Saccharomyces cerevisiae S288C: one gene and its partner. The protein of the gene in region 2 binds, or shares a complex with, the protein of the main gene of each other region. Each region holds a gene or a part of one and is shown on either strand. Other genes may lie near its edges.

Region 1 (4,649 bases), on a different chromosome or scaffold from region 2:
GAATAATCTCTTGACTTCTCCCAAATCGCATATGAAAAACGAGTTCTCCTCACCGGGGTCGCACGTTTCATTATTAATTCTACCAATACGAGCCTTGAGCGCTTGAAATATTTTAGGATGCGCTTGTTCATGCGGTAAAAGTTCCAAATCTTGGTTATTCTTTAGTTCAAGCAAAAGATTGTGCAGCGTCTCGCCATCTTTATAATATTGCTTCTTTTGGGTAACCGTAGAATTAGACAAGTCCACTAAAGTAGTAGTGGAACTAGATAGAGCATTTCCTACTTGAGTACTAGACATAGTAAGTTTGAAATTCAAAGGTTTTGATTACTATGAAAAAGTTGTAGAACAATCAAAAAATCTTACCTACTTAAACTTGAAACAAAAGCCGTGCTGAAACCTGGATGATAAACCAAGGAACGAAAAGTTCTTCTGTCCTTTCTATTAACTACACTATTATGATTGAATTTTAAGCTTATTAGAAGCAGGTTCCGCTATTTCAGTGCAATAAATGCTTTTCATTTTCGATTTCAGAATAAAAATCAGGATGACCAATCTATTGCGCAGGAGAAGTTATTAGAATGATTTCACTTCGAAATGGGCGAAAATATCTGCACGGCGCAGATTAAAATTAATCGGTGAAGAAAACGAAGATGCCGCGGCGTGTCGAATGAAAATGAAAGAAAATGAATTTTTATTTGTAGTTTATTTAGCACAGACAAGGAGAGAAATGTACAATTGTTTCGTGATAATGTCTCTTATTAGTTGAAAGAGATTCAGTTATCCATGTATCAATTCTCTACTGTCTCAGTTATGTAATTACAAAATAAGCAACGGTACCCTTCAATTTCGCAGTTGCGTTCGGGGACGAATTCTTTGTCTATTCCATTGGATTTCATAATGTTTATTTCACCCTTTGTGGGGATCTTACGACATAAATCGTTCAAACATCTTGTATGTGTTTTTTTATATCGAAGACCACAAGAGTTACATAGCTGATCTTGCTTTCTTGGCGACCACGATGGCCTCCAACAGGGCGAATCACTCGAATGACACGACACGCACACTCTTGTGGTGTGACGAGTGGGTGATGAGCCACTGGACCTTCTACTTCCCTTTTTCGTTATGCTTGAATTTGATGATCTTCGAGGGCTTTGAGGGGGAGAGTCGAGAGCAAATCTATGATAATTGGGTGACCTTGGGCTTGGAGTGTATGCCTTGGGACGCACAGGTGAGGATGATCTTGATCTCATCTTGCCACTTTTCGTCGGTGTGGAGGGAGATGGAGATGAAGATGCAGAGACAGAACTGTAACTAGCGTTGTCGAGTTTCATCACCAATTGTCTTGCAGTGTTACCGAAAACATTTGATGCTTGCTTTGAGATTTTGTTCTTAGATGGTTTCCTTACATTAGATTTGGAATTGTTCGATAGAATGTCTCTATTCGCAAGCAATTTTTTTATTTGCAAAGCTTTGAAACTGTTCGTCTTTTTGTGACTGGCATTTGGCATGGGAAATGAATTTCCACGTAATTGTCTTTGATGTTTAACTTCTTGAACCAATTTTTCACTAATAATTGGATTGAATATTGAATCGTTATTGCTGGATTTCCCCTCAAAAAAAGAGGCCTCTACTCCTCTAAGCGTCGTGCGCTCCATGGTTCTATTGGTTGGTGGACTCATCGGCGGTGTGACGGGAGGAGTAATACTCCATGCATTGTTGGAAAGATCTTTAAATTGATCTTTAGCTTCTAGAATCGAAGGAATTAGTTTGGTACGATCAAATGATTCCTTAGACGGGGAATGGAACTTGGACGACCTAGTCGATTCCAATTCCTTGCCGTAATTGAAACTATCATTATTTTGATTATTAGTTAAGTTGGGTATACTTAATGGCTTGAAATGAGCCACTTCTTCGCGTATTTTAACATAGTCTTGATAGTTTGTATCCTTACACCAATGGGTAAGATCAGTTTTCCAATTAGATGTACGTTTTGATGTATCAGGGAAGCGTGCTGCGTTTTCTTGTAAAAGAGGACTGGGTAATAATTGCAGATGCCTTAGTGATGGTAGGCTTTGTTGTGGGCGCTCCGGTCTCTTAGATAAAGAGACGGACGATAGCCTGTCTAACAATGGTAGTCGAGGTTGTGAATTAGAGGAAAAACCTAAGCCAGACCCATAGTTCAATGGATTTGTAAAACTAATCTGAGATAAGCTTGCCTTGTTGAATTCTGGTGAATTGCCTGGTGTTAATGAGGAAATTGGATTGTAATCCATATGATGTGGCGATGCTGGTGCAGTATTTGATTTTTTTCCAAGTATTTCGTTAGCCAAAGATATTGGGGAAAGAATTGGCGACACATTGAGCGAATGAAACGAATACTTCCTAGGACTTGCTGAATTTATATTGTTATCGGTTGTGATATTGTTCCTGCTGATATTACTGGATAAATTGGAAAATGAAGGCAATAAAAGATTGTCATAATAGGAGCTATTTGCATGAGAATCCGGACCAGCAGATAATGCATGCAGTGGTGTTTTGATGTATAAGCTTGACATTTTTTTGCTTTTCCCGTTATGAGAAATGTTTTTTTTAGACTGAAAATAAAAGAATGGATAGTATTAAAATAGTAATGAACGTAATAAGGATAGGACAGGAGCGATAGGAAAAGATAGAATTTTGGAGCTTTTTTTCCCTCTTTTTTTGAGCAGGAGCCAATAGTAGTCGGAAAGATGAGTGTATAGATTTTTCGTATTTTATTTCGAGTAAAAATATCACGCTCTTAGGTTCAATAAAAGAATATACTATTTCTTCAAAATGCTTCTCTAATCTATTTTTTTATTTTCCTTAATAACTGAAATATTATTTTTTGATGTAAAATGAGTGAACAAGAATAAAGGATTTTTGGTATGTTTGCAAGTTCTGTGGAGTTCCATGTATAAGGTATACATATTAGAAAAGCTTTACGATTATATACTAACATCATGTACAAAACAGTTTAATAATGATCTGTATTGCTGGCTCAATCCACGTAAGGAAAATGATCAGCCCAATCCTCAAAAATAAAATGGCCCTTCCAAAATTAGAGACATATCGTAGAAATCAGACGCACGCTTGGCGTCAATATCCTAAAACGGAAAACTAATCAGTTAGATGTGTCTTTTTTAGGTAAAAAAAGGCAACCAACTTTTTGCTGGCTAGCGATGCGACAATAAACGCGCGCAGCGAATAAAAATAAGATGGCGGAGGAGCAGAGACTTCTTTTCTTAGAAGAGGTTTTGTTACCGTATGGGGGTATGATGGTTAGATGGCTGAATAAAAACGTTAATTAAAGGAATACAGAAGAGGAAGCGCCCCGATTTCTTTTCTGTTCCACATGAAAGCAGCCGGTTGGGTGGTAGATCTCTAATGACATCCAAACTACAAAACCGAGATTGGACATATAGCACACTCTGCATTTCTACTTTCCTTTCTCCCTACAGTTTGCTCGATCTGAACCGATGCTTCTTTGATTGGACAAGATGATAGACCATGACTCCCTGTATGTATTGCAGAGATTGCCACTACTAACCAAGAAAAGTTGAACGTGTCGTACGTATAAAACGATTTATGCTTAGGCTTTACTGAAAAAAAAAAAGTAAAAAGAGGATGCGCAAACGCATAGAGCAAGTAACTAACCTGTTTTTATAGTATATACTTGGCCCCACCAGGCTGATCGTCAGGCAAAACGCCAAACTAATAACAGTAATAACAGAAATATGAACACCAATAGTAATACTATGGTAATGAATGACGCAAATCAAGCACAAATAACGGCCACATTTACGAAGAAGATATTAGCGCATTTGGATGATCCGGACTCCAACAAATTGGCCCAATTCGTACAGCTTTTTAATCCAAACAACTGCAGAATAATATTTAATGCTACCCCCTTCGCGCAAGCAACAGTTTTTCTGCAAATGTGGCAAAACCAGGTCGTACAAACACAACATGCCCTAACAGGAGTAGACTATCACGCTATTCCGGGATCCGGCACGTTGATATGCAACGTCAATTGCAAAGTCAGATTCGACGAAAGCGGCAGAGACAAGATGGGGCAAGACGCGACTGTTCCCATTCAACCAAATAACACTGGGAACAGAAATCGACCCAACGATATGAACAAGCCAAGACCTCTATGGGGTCCATATTTTGGCATTTCCCTGCAGCTGATCATCGACGACCGCATATTTAGAAATGATTTTAATGGTGTAATATCGGGGTTTAACTATAACATGGTTTACAAACCCGAGGATTCTCTGCTAAAAATTTAGTGGGAAGATTCCGCTCTACCAGGGAAAAACAAAATTATATAGAAAAGAAGGTAAGTAATAAGTAATACGAAAAAACCCAAAAAAAAAATTCAAATACCCCAACCCTGTGCCCTTTCTATTTTTATGGTTGAAAAGGTTACAGAGGATCCTCTGGAGCGGTGACAACAGTTGACGCAATCATGGTCCCTGGCGGTCCCTAAGGATATCTCGGAGGAACCGAGGCACGGAAACGGCTGCACGGGTACGCCAGATAAGGATAATTCAGCCGTCACGCATGAACAGAAGGATGAGCATTTGCTCACCTTCCTGGACTTAACTTGCGTGAATGAAAAGAAGAAC
Region 2 (4,644 bases):
TACTTACTAAAAATAATGTAACTTTGCTCTTTGCACCAATAGATGTTACTCTCCAAATATCTTACAGGTCGTCTTCCACGTGGTATCTATCAAAGTAGCCAGATCCACGTCCTTGACTTCCGATACGACAATTGCTACTTGTTCCATATTACAAGGCTCATTACGGCCCTTGACCATGTAAAGTTCTTCTGCATTCAACTTGTCAGCGAGCTTATTTTTCTTAACGGACTTGAATGCAGGGTATTCGAAATCCCTAACCTCCTGGTATTTGGCTAAGTACTGGAAAGATGCATGCGTTCTTTTAATCTCACACCACGGAGCATCTGTCTCTAATAACAACCTTTCTGTTGGTATTTGCTTTACAACAGCTAGATTTTCCTCGGTTCTCAACGAGCAACCGTTTACTCCTATGAAGATGTTGGGTGATAAGTTCAGTAATTTCTGCAAATCTATCGCAGAACCAGTGAATGAATGGACCACTAGTTTTCTATCTGGATGAAATTTGTAAAACCCGCTAGACGACGATGCACCTAACTTTTGTAGCTGAAAGGTATCCCTCTCATCAGTGAACCCGGCAATAAATCTTTCCAATATTTGAACAAAATCGTCACATGCGCTTCTCATATGCAGAAACAATGGATAGCTGCTGAGTTTATCGTTCAAACAACTTATTTTCAGTTGCTCTTCAAAAAAAACCTTTTGCATCTCTTTAGAACTATAGTGAAATCTGTCGTAGTCCAACCCGATCTCACCAATTGACCTGAAACTTGTATCATGAGGTTTTGCTTGCTGATTCATCAAATCATAAAGCTCTTTCAGTTTACCCTGTGCAAAAGATGGATTACTAATAACTTTAGCATATAGAGACTCATTATATGCTTCATCCATGGAAGGGTTATCAATAGAAGCGCTAGCCTTGTCCCCTTGACTAGCATCCGCAAACTCGTTAACGCAACATGGGTGAACACCTATTGTGTGATACAGCTTTAACGGGCTAAGATCTTTGACGCTGCTTACCAACTCAATGGCACTTTGAGACTCCGCTATGGATGATCCTGTAACAAGGGCATTTTTCACGTGCCTCTGAGCAGCACGCTCTAATAATTTTACATAATCTGCTGGATGGTACTGCTTACCATTGTAAATACCGTGAAACATAGGATCTGTCAGATTCAATCCAATATCATAGTATTTCAGCGGAGAATCCGTGGCAGTTGATGTCATGCTATAATATTGTGTCAAAATTGGTTTCCAGAGCCTAGAACAACTTTTGTTCGAGGATTTCAATAAGATGCCCCACATATAACTATAACAGTACTGGCGCCTCAAAAAAATGCCTTGGCAGCGAAAGTGTCCACCTTTAGTTGTCCATTGCTACCAGGACATCACCACTGGGCCCTTCCAGCATGCTGGAAAGATTGTTCTTAGAAGAGTGCTGTTCTAAGTAACCCGGCGTTAGTAGGGGCTAAGCCTTCTAGAAGGCCGGAAAAGGCTCAGAAATGCCTGCAGTGCAAAGCTTTTCAGGAACGTTACTAGCGCAAGTCTTCTGGCTGCTGTTTAGCAACCTCTTTGCAGGTATTTCGCAGCGGGATTTCGCAGGTGTCTTGCCTAGCGTATCAACACTTAGTAGCAGTTAGGTTCTAAAGTTAAACTCCACTTCCGTTCTTCTTCGAGTTCCTTTTTGAGCGGTTTGGCCTATCTTGTCTCATCATCTTGTTAGTGTGCGACGTTATCTGTGGGTGAGAGAGGCTATTTTTGGTCCGGTGAAAAAAAAATTTTTTCTCTGCTGAGAGCTGAAATTTGAAAATTGAGATGAGATGCGATGCGATGAGATGCGAGACCAATGCGATGAGACACTTTTCTACTTCCTTACACAGAAGTCGTGTATAGTTTTTGTACGTTGATATTAATAAAGGCTTTTCATATCATTTTGTTTTCAGGTAAACAAATCTGGCAAATCTCCACTGCTTGAGTCATTAAAACTACTCACTCAAGAAGGCATATACACGACAGTGGGTAGAGAAAAGAATATATCACTGTTCTTATTGAAGTTCCCTCGCGATGACGTTGCCGAAACTCAGTAGCGTTTCTGTTTCATCAGGACATGTTAGTGCCAACTCACATGGTTTCTCAATACTAAGCAAACACCCTCACCCAAATAATCTTGTCCATTCCCACTCACTTTCTCACACAAATGCGAAGAGCCACCTGCCTATCAGTAGCACTAGCACTAAAGAGAACAGCACGAACAAGGAGGAGGCGGAATCACTCAAAAAAAACAACCCCTCTTCTTGGGACCCTAGTGATGATATCAAGCTCCGCCACCTGAAAGAGATCAAGAACTTGGGCTGGAAGGAGATTGCACATCATTTCCCAAATAGAACTCCTAACGCTTGTCAATTCAGATGGAGGAGACTGAAATCAGGCAACTTAAAGTCTAACAAGACCGCAGTTATTGACATCAATAAGCTATTCGGCGTGTATGCGACTGGTGATGCTACCCCATCCGCGGGTACTCCGTCTGCGGAAGAAGCCGTAAAAGAGGAAGCTGTTGAGGATGAAGATATTACTGCAGGTTCTAGTGCTATCGAGGATTCTCCACCGGATTTCAAGCCATTAGTTAAGCCTAAATACATGGACAGAAAACTGATAACTCAAAGATCTACATCAACATTTTCGGACCATGAGCCACAACACACGAAACCAAGGAAACTGTTTGTTAAGCCAAGGTCCTTCTCTCATTCTATAACAACCAACACGCCTAATGTAAAGACTGCTCAGCAGACAAATCTAAGCCTTTATAACACTACTTCAGCAAAGACAAATAAAGCTGTTAATTCCAATGATTATGAGAATATTGGTCTTGTGCCTAAAATTATTATCAGGTCTAGAAGGAACTCCTTTATTCCTTCAACTCAAATCCCTCATTCAACGACGAAGACTAGGAAAAACTCGCATTCCGTAATTTCTTCTAGAAGATCATCTTTTAACATGATGCATTCAAGAAGATCATCCTTCAACTCTCACGCTCCTACGGAGCCTATTTCTAGAAGAGCTTCCTTGGTAGTTAGCCCGTATATGTCACCCAGAAGGTTATCTACATCGCAATCCGTTCATTATCATCCACAGCACCAATACTATCTTAACCCCATAGCGTCTCCCAACTGCAAGACAGACCACGCAAATGACAAAATCACGCACACGAGGACTTTCTTAGATATGCAAAAATTCGCTAATAAACACCCGTGGTCTAGAGAAGATGATGAAGTGCTACTTAACAATACGAAGGACAAACAAAACCATTTGTCGCCGCTAGAAATTTCTATTGTTCTGCCTAATAATAGATCCGAGTTGGAAATCCAACAAAGAATGGATTATTTAAAGAGAAAAGGACGTGTAAGTGGTTTTCATACAAATGAAGGATGCAAAGACGAGGAGGAGGAGGATGACATTGACCCACTGCACAAGGAGAATGGCATTAACACGCCATCGCAGCAATCGCAAAATTACGGTATGTTAGAGGCTAAACATGATAATCCAAAGTCTAGTGAGCTTTCTTCTATGACCAGCGCAAATGACATACGCAATGAGCAAGATGAACTTCCAGGTATAAATTCTATCTTTAAAAATATATTTTAAGCTAAGAGACGAATTTAGTTTGTTTTGACTATTCGTTTAATGAGTACAAATTAATCGCACCCACACATGTACACACACACATATATATCTTTATATATACACATAAAATTTATTCGTAGGAGAATTCTGTAATACTATTGACTACAAGGGTTCTTATTGCTATTAATAATGTTACATGTATATGCTTATATCCAATATATACCCATCGCCGCTTATTCTTCGTCATCCTCTATTAGAGTTATTTTTCTTCTTTTTCTGACTCTCTCCTTCCTTATGTGGCTTTCTATATCGTTTTCATCCTGCTCTTGTCCTTTTCTCTTCCCATCCTCATCATCATCACTGTCTTCTTCATATGTGTCTTCCTCCTCATCATTTTCTTCTGATATTTGCTCATCCTCAATGTCATCATCAAGGGTAAAGTCTTCGTCTTCGTCTTCATCTTCTTTGGCGTTTTCACCTACATATAATTCAGTATCTACATCGTTTTCTACTTCATCCTGCTCTAAACTTGATATTCCAGTATCGTTTCTCCTAGCTGCATGATTTCCAAGTGGTGTTTCGGAGTTTTTAATAGTGAAGCAGAGCTCCCAATGAGTTTCTGTACTAAATTTTGATCTTGGTATCCCTTTGCGATCATGGATGCTTTCCAGCACTCTTTTTTCCGCTTGATAGATTAATCTATCATTATTTGTGTTCTTATAATCACACATATACTCTGTTAAGGAGGAAACAGTGTCTTCAAAAAAATCAGTAGCAGGTACTTCCGGTTCTATGATATTGTTTACATGAAGCTTGGATGTTTTGTGCTCACTACTTCTTCTTCTTCTTCTTCTGCGTTTATTATGTGCTCTACTGTTGTTATAGTTTTCTATATGTGTGTTATTCGAAATTACCGGAGCCATAGTTTCATTTGTAAGAGCTTCGTCCGCTAATGCGGTGGGTTCTAAGTTCATCATCCCATTTATACCAAATGACGGCCCTAATATAATAGGTTCCCACAATAGT

Evidence for each region. Proteins that work in one complex are often made in the same cells at the same time.
Region 1: TOD6 (region 2) and ASH1 share a complex: the UniProt entries of both Saccharomyces cerevisiae proteins name them as parts of the RPD3C(L) complex.

Annotation. Positions count from the first base shown.
Region 1 is NC_001143.9:92,405-97,053, reverse strand, and holds ASH1 (DNA-binding transcription repressor ASH1), read right to left. Parts: upstream 2,556-4,649; coding exon 789-2,555; downstream 1-788. Other genes in the region: ornithine decarboxylase SPE1, read right to left, coding at 1-297; MTR2 (Mtr2p), read left to right, coding at 3,756-4,310. UniProt on the Saccharomyces cerevisiae protein: Component of the RPD3C(L) histone deacetylase complex (HDAC). Responsible for the deacetylation of lysine residues on the N-terminal part of the core histones (H2A, H2B, H3 and H4).
Region 2 is NC_001134.8:115,528-120,171, forward strand, and holds TOD6 (Tod6p), read left to right. Parts: upstream 1-2,061; coding exon 2,062-3,639; downstream 3,640-4,644. Other genes in the region: YBL055C (3'-5'-exodeoxyribonuclease), read right to left, coding at 46-1,302; SAS3 (histone acetyltransferase), read right to left, coding at 3,852-4,644. UniProt on the Saccharomyces cerevisiae protein: Component of the RPD3 histone deacetylase complex RPD3C(L) responsible for the deacetylation of lysine residues on the N-terminal part of the core histones (H2A, H2B, H3 and H4).